Linked DNA regions of Mus musculus. The protein of the gene in region 1 interacts with the protein of each later gene in a biochemical or structural test. Links are inferred from orthologs where the notes say so. Each region holds a gene or a part of one and is shown in the gene's direction. Other genes may lie near its edges.

Evidence for each region.
Region 2: of the proteins of Prkcz (region 1) and Mbp, one has a biochemical effect on the other in vitro, tested with the Homo sapiens proteins (2 studies listed by BioGRID). The link is inferred for Mus musculus from reciprocal best matches to the Homo sapiens genes PRKCZ and MBP.

Annotation. Positions count from the first base shown.
Region 1 is NC_000070.6:155,267,189-155,271,013, reverse strand, and holds part of Prkcz (protein kinase C zeta type), read left to right. Parts: intron 1-1,861; coding exon 1,862-1,981; intron 1,982-2,750; coding exon 2,751-2,830; intron 2,831-3,229; coding exon 3,230-3,319; intron 3,320-3,825. UniProt on the Homo sapiens protein: Calcium- and diacylglycerol-independent serine/threonine-protein kinase that functions in phosphatidylinositol 3-kinase (PI3K) pathway and mitogen-activated protein (MAP) kinase cascade, and is involved in NF-kappa-B activation, mitogenic signaling, cell proliferation, cell polarity, inflammatory response and maintenance of long-term potentiation (LTP).
Region 2 is NC_000084.6:82,572,347-82,576,171, forward strand, and holds part of Mbp (Golli-Mbp), read left to right. Parts: exon of another isoform or gene 1-478; coding exon 479-580; intron 581-2,825; coding exon 2,826-2,861; intron 2,862-3,188; coding exon of another isoform or gene 3,189-3,287; intron 3,288-3,825. UniProt on the Homo sapiens protein: The classic group of MBP isoforms (isoform 4-isoform 14) are with PLP the most abundant protein components of the myelin membrane in the CNS. They have a role in both its formation and stabilization.

The DNA of each region.
Region 1 (3,825 bases):
GTTACCCGTTGCATACTCCCTGAGGCCCACCAGATGACACTGAATAACATTCCTCTCTCTGAGGAGTCCTAAGGCCAGGGAGGAGAAAAAGGAACATGAAGCAACGACAAGAAAGCCCAGGTTTGGGTCACAGAACCTCAAGTTGGCTGGCCACTGGCCACTGGCCATGCATATGTGGAAGAAACAAAGTGCCCTTGGGAATGGCAGAAGTGCCCCCATTGGGCTCCAGAGCAGGGGGTGATCTGGGGACCCTGTAGACACGAAGGTGTACTTCCACTCCTCGGGGTAGAAACAGTCCTATGCACCTGGGGGCAGGGCATACATATACAGGTACATGTGTGTACATGTGTGTGATACATGTGTGTACATGTGTGTGATACATGTGTGTGCATGTGTGTGATAGAGGAGGATATGTAGCATGCAGTGTGTGTGTGCACATTTATTTTTTTACTGTTTGTAAAAAAAATGTGTTTACTGTGCACAGAGGCTCATCACACATGTTATCTATGTGTGCTCGTGAACGCACCCACTTTTGCATCCTAGCTTCTCCTGCTGTTCAGACAGGTGGGATTACAGGCATGAGCTGTCTATCCCTGACTAGTGACGGTGACTTCAGTGAAACCAGTCATAAATACACCTTCACATAAATGAGTGTGTGGCGGGCAGCGCGTGCGAGTCACCAATTCAGAAGAATGACTGAGTTCCTACAAGCTGCTTCAGTTGAAGTGGCTCAGTAACCAGGGGTGGCAGACTGGAGCCAGAAATCAGTCTAGCATTCTAAGTGACCCTATTTCTGTGTGTGCCAGAGCAGGGGGACTGTTCTGAGCAGAGATGGTAGGGGTGGCCAGGCAGAGTATGAAGACTGATCATCCCTCCTGCTGTCTTAAAATACTTAGCACTTGAACATAGAAAGAGAGAGAGAGACAGAGAGAGAGAGAGAAAGTCAGTCAGCCAGCCGGGCAATGGTGGCCCACACTTTCAATCCCAGCATCAGGAGGCAGAGTCAGGCAGATCTCTAAGATCAAAGCCAGCCTGGTCTATAGAGTTAGTTCCAGGACAACCAGGTCTACACGAAGAAGCCCTGTCTTAAAACAAAACAAAACAAAACAAAACGGGCTGGAGAGATGGCTCAGCAGTTAAGAGCACTGACTTCTCTTCCAGAGGTCCTGAGTTCAATTCCCACCAACCACATAGTGGCTTACAACCATCTGTCATGGGATCCGATGTCCTCTTCTGGTGTGTCTGAAGATGGTGACAGTGTACTCACATACATAAAATATAAGAAAGAAAGAATAGTGAATGTAAATATACAGGAAATTGTAGCTGTGTTTTCTCGTCTCGGAGATGGATTCTGTGAGTTCTGTGTATTTTGGCAGCTCTGGGGATGGCGCGTGTGCTTTGTACGTGTGAACAAAGTGTTCTCTACCACTGGGCCACATTCCTCAGTGAGAAGCGGGCTTTGTAACTGTAAATCAAATCAGGAAAAAAATACAACTAGTTATGGTGCCATGCCCTAGGAGGCTGAGGCAGGGGAGTCACAAGTTCAAGGCCAGCCTGGACTACATATCGAGAGCCTGTATCATCATCATCGGTCACTATCACTGATGATGACGATGACGACGACAGGAACAAAGCAGGGTCCGTCCCTGGTCCCATTCTGCATGCTCGAGTAACAGAGATGTCCCAGCAGAGCTGAGGGGCCAGGGACACAGCCTGGGTATCCCACACTGCAGGTGAGGAGTCACAGCTTCTGAGGACACAGATGTCCAGCACAGCGACTCTCTTGGCACATTCACACTCACGGACAGAGTGTGCCACTTCCCAGCCACCCCCTGCCTAGTGACTGCCCGCTTTTCCACAGGGTTCAGCGTGGACTGGTGGGCACTGGGTGTCCTTATGTTTGAGATGATGGCTGGGCGCTCCCCCTTTGACATCATCACGGACAACCCTGACATGAACACTGAAGACTACCTTTTCCAAGGTTGGTGGCCCATGGTGTATGCACTCCCTCCCACCTCCCTCTGCATGTTATTTTTTCTTCCCTTCTCAAAGGTGAGGATGGAGCATTGTCCAGGCTGGTGCTGTGCATCAGCAACAGTACACACACACACACACACACACACACACACACACACACACACGAACCCATTCCTCTGGCAGAGATTGTAAAACGAGGTGATCATAGTCCACCTCACTATGGGTCACCTAGAAACCCTGATTTAGCCAGAGCCCCCTTCTGCCCACCCAGATCATTCCCTGTAGCCTGTGCAGGCTCCCTTGCTCCTGATGAGAGAGCATTAATGGCCACTGATACGCCCCTCAGGGCTGTCCCTCGGCGCCCCCTGGTGATCGGTGTTCAGACTCCACATGCCTGCAACCAAAAGGTAGTAGGGAGCTGTTGGTTCACACAAGGCTATGTGATATGTGAGTGCTACCAGGAGGTCCCTAGAAGGACCCAGCAGGCTTCTGGAACAGGAAGGTGTCCCAGGGCTACAAGTCTGAGCTCTGACTTAGAAATGGGGTTCAAGCCAGGTGTGGGTCACATGGCCTTGTAATCCCAGCTACTCAAGAGGCTGGAAGGAAGGTCAAGAATTCAAAGCCAGGCTGGATACCTACCAAGATTCCGTCCTTGCAAAAAAACAAGCAAACAAAAAACAAAAAAACACAAAAGGAGCAGAGTTCAGGGGGCCCACCCGTAGGCTATCGGAAAGAGCAAACAGTGCCGCTTCTCACCCGGTCTCTGTCCTCAGTTATCCTGGAAAAGCCAATCCGGATTCCCCGTTTCCTGTCTGTCAAGGCCTCACACGTCTTAAAAGGATTTTTAAATAAGGTATGCTCTTGGCTGCGGTGACAGACGATCCCTTGTAACCCTCTGGGATCAAGTTACCCATGGGATGGAGTGGGTGGACAGAGTCTCTCCACTACTGGAGCTGTCTGTCATCAGCTGCCAGCTGCCCCCAGCTGCTCTGTGCTGCTGCTGCTCATCCACTCTGGCACTGGGGCTCCGTGATCTTTGAGTTTAATTTTTTATTGATATAGCAAAACAGTGAGTAAGTAACTGACCGGAAAAGCAGTCCCAACAGAGGGAAGGTCAGACCCAGCTGGACATCAGAACAGCTGGGGACAGGGAACTCCCGTGGGGGCAGTTGGGCCATCCCGTTGGGTTGAGGTTGAATCAGGGGTTTCCTTAGGAGTCCTGACTCACCCTCATTTGAATTCTGACCCCCAGGATCCCAAAGAGAGGCTTGGCTGCCGGCCACAGACTGGGTTTTCCGACATCAAGTCTCATGCTTTCTTCCGCAGCATAGACTGGGACCTGGTAAGCCTCGAGGGTCACCGGTGCCCCTTCTGCGAGGTGGGCCAGTTTTGCCAGAATGGGCCCGTGTGTACTTGGGTGCCTGGTACATGGTGTCTGGCCATTTTCTGTGGTGTTGTGGTTGGTTTTCCAAAGCTGCCAAGAACCTGATGTCAACAGTTACAGGACAGAGTAGCAGGCACAGGCATCGGCTCGGACTTGAGTCCATTCCTGATATTAGGAGAAAAACTTCAACTTTATACTTTGAAGAAAAGTATAAAGATTAGCCAGTTGAGTAGATCTGGAACTTGCCCAACTCTGGGACAGTGGACACCTCCCCCATCCCCTGCAACCCCACCCTGATCCTTCCAGATGGCTTACAGCCAGCACTGATGACTACATTCCATCCCCACGAAGAACCAGTTACTCTGTTTACCGGACTGTTTGTGTCTGTGGGTACTGGGAGGAATCGGGAGGGTCCAGGCCACAGAGGCAACAAGCAATCAGGAAAGATGATACCCCTCTACCCC
Region 2 (3,825 bases), on another chromosome or scaffold:
GCTCTCACTTGGGGTAAATCACTGGCCATATGCTTGCTAGAGCATCTTATTGACTATATTCACTGGCCTAGGTCCCTCTGGTTCTGTGGGTTATGAATCCTCGGCCCAGATGGACGCTCAGAGCAGGTGTTACTTCCATCTGACTCAAGATGGGAACGTGATAGTCCTCTGTCGACAGACTCAGAACCCTGGTGACACGAGGTGACGAGGCTAGCTCATAATGCACAACCCCAAAGTGAATGAACAGACTCCCTCTGCCAGTGATGGCTTCAGAAATAAGAGAGTAGCCACCTGGCAAACTGGTGGTTATGCACCACGCATGCTCCGCTAAGCCCCGCCCCGGACTCAGTTGTTTGGTGGCACACCAGCAGCTTCCCAATCTCCAGGAGGCGTGGAGTAGAGACTCACCTTCCTCAGAAGGGCAGACGTGGCCCACCTACGCCCTCTCCATCCTCAGCTGCTCGCTTCTCTCTTTCAGGACTCACACACGAGAACTACCCATTATGGCTCCCTGCCCCAGAAGTCGCAGCACGGCCGGACCCAAGATGAAAACCCAGTAGTCCATTTCTTCAAGAACATTGTAAGTGACTGTGCACAGGGGAACCAAGAAATCATCAAGGGAAAGGTTGTGGATCCAAAAGAGGTCTTAGCTCACACCTAACCTCCATGGATCCTTCTCAGGGTGCCGCTGGCCTGAGAGACACCAACCTCAGGAGGACCTGGGTCATCCCAGGTCCTAAAGGACACGCGTGGGTGCATCTGCCATGCTTTTAAAAACCTGTATATTGTAATAAGAATTTAGTATTCCTGAAATCAGGCAGCTAGTAGGTGCTTAATTAAAAATATAGACTTTATGACCTTGAGAAATGAAAATGGTGGGAGTCAGCGTTGCCCAGGAGGGCTGGGGAATAAACAGAGAAATGTAGGGTGCTTTAGGCCAACAGAACTGCTCTGCGTGGCATTGTAACATAAGACATGTGATATTTGTTAATACACATAGGATGCATGCCACATAGAGTGAACCTTGATGTATCCAGATGATGATGGTGATGGTGATGATGATGGTGATGATGGTGATTATGGTTATGATGGTGGTGCTGATGATGGTGATGATGATGATGGTGATGATGATGATGATGATGGACAATGATGATAATACCCCAATGTTTGTTTATCACTTAGTACAAGCAAATCATGTTAATGCTGGTGCTGAACAGCAGAAGCTGAGCAGATGTGTGGGACTGCCCTATGGGTACAGGGGAAATGTGTGACTTCGTGACAATTTCTGTGTACATCTAAACTCTTCCACAAAATAAATGACTTAGTTACTTCTCTATTGTGGTGGCAAGATACCATGACCAAGGCAACGAATGGAAGAAAGAGGTTATTTGGGGCTCATAGCTCAAAGGGTGAATCAGTGGCCATCATGGTGGGGAGCATGGTGCTGGGGCAGTCACTGAGAAATCCCATCTTCAGACACAACCATGAGGCAGAGATAGGAGGAGGGGGAGATAGGGATAGATACACAGATAGGTGATCGATAGAGATAGATAGATACAGAGTTAGAGAGGTAGAGAGGTGATAGATAGATGATAGATAGATAGATAGATAGATAGATAGATAGATGATAGATGATTGATAGATAGGAAGATATGATAGATGATAGATATGATAGATAGATGATAAATAGGAAGATATGATAGATGATAGATAAATAGATATAATAGGTAGGTAGGTAGATAGATAGATAGATAGATAGATAGATAGATAGATAGAGATAGATAGATAGGAAGATATGATAGATGATAGATAAATAGATATAATAGGTAGGTAAATAGATAGATGATAGATAGATAGATAGATAGATAGATGATTGATAGATGATATGATATGATAGATGATAGATATGATAGATATGATAGATAGATGATAGATAGGAAGATATGATAGATAGATGATAGATAGATATAATAGGTAGATAGATAGATAGATAGATAGATAGATAGATAGATAGATAGATGATAGATTGATAGGAAGATATGATAGATAGATGATAGATAAATAGATATAATAGATAGATTGATTGATTGATAGATTGATAGATGTGATAGATGATAGATTGATAGATATGATAGATAGATGATAGATGGATAAATGGATGGATAGATAGATGCAAGATAGATAGATAGATGGATAGATAGAGATATGATAGATGATAGATGGATGGATAGAGCAATGAGTGGGAATGGCCCACCCAAGTGACACACCTCTTCCAACAAGGCCACACCTCCTAATGGTTCCACCAAGTAGGCACTAAACATTCACATATACGAGCCTGTGGGGGCCACTCTCATTCAAACAAACATAATGGCCTGGGCTCTCTCACACCAATCAATAATTAAGAAAATACACTATAAATGATTCTGTCTTGTGTCAGGTTGACATAAAACTAGCCAGCACACCACTCTTGCAAAGGACCAGGGTTCCATTCCCACCAGTCATGCTGGTGGCTCAACTGCCTACAGCTCCAGCCCCACTGCGGCTGCTGGCCTCCATGGATGTCTGTGCACTCATGCCCACACACAGACACGAGATTTTTTTTTTTAAATGGGGCATCATATTGAAACTGAGCATCAGTAGATGTGCCATTTCCAGCCCCAGGAAGGGCATGATATAGACGCATGTGCTAGCTTCTGATGCCTGGTAGATTGGAACCATGTCTGTGGACATGAACTATGTCCAATGTCATGTGGGACCCTCTGGGAGGACGTGGGGCTTCCTACAAGAAAGTGAGTCACTGCAGCCCACCCCTCTCTGTCTTCCAGGTGACACCTCGAACACCACCTCCATCCCAAGGGAAGGTAAGGCCTTGGATGTTTTGGTTCATCGAGAGTTCATTCATATGATTATCCTGAAATCCCAAAATGTGTTCCAAATGGAACTGGGCTCAAGGCTCCCTGAATCTGCCCAAGTCTTGCTCCCAGAGGCTCCCACTGGGACAGAGATGCAGCAGGTCCCCAGTTCTGCGTCCACGGCCGGTGCTTCCAGGCAGTGTCCCCCTGAGCTGGGATTCACGTCCTGGCCTTGAAGCTTTGAGCAGGCCTAGCAATCCCTGAATGTGGTGCATTTGAGGGAGCCTGTTTCTCTTGGGGGGAGGAATGCCACCTGGTTGTTCCTGTTGGTTTCAGGACTTTGTCCCGGGCGATCACCACGTCAATGTTTCTGTCGTCACTGTTTCTTTCTCTTCCTCACAGGGGAGAGGCCTGTCCCTCAGCAGATTTAGCTGGGTAGGTGATGACTGCGTCTCCTCTGCTTCCTCATCCCCTGCAGCCCGCGCAGCCCACTGACTTCTAAGTTCTTTCAGTTGCTTAACACTCGCTTTTTCTGTCCTGCCCGGCCCAGCTCGCCCACCATGCTTGGCAGGCTGTTTTCTATTCCAGGCAGACAGGAAGCCTTTCAGTGTGGGTTGCTGCCAGGCTGCATCCCGGGCACTGCAGAGCCCTGTACCTCCTCCCCACAAGTGTTCTGAGCTCCTTCCCAAGAAAGGGCCATATTACAAGGCTCAGTAGACCAAACTACACTGCTGCCCACCCCTTAAGACAGTACTGCTGATGCAGAATAATGATGCTAAACTCTTGTTCCATTTCCAATAACCCTTCTACTTGTTAATCCAGAAGATCTGGGGTTTTGTTTGTGTGTTAGTGGCATCTAACACAGATCCACTAAACCTCCAAGAAAGATTCCGTAAGGGTTTTAGGTTTTTAGACACAAGATCAAAGTTCTGATGATGGTTTTAACTGGTCGGAACAGCTTGGCTTCTAAATA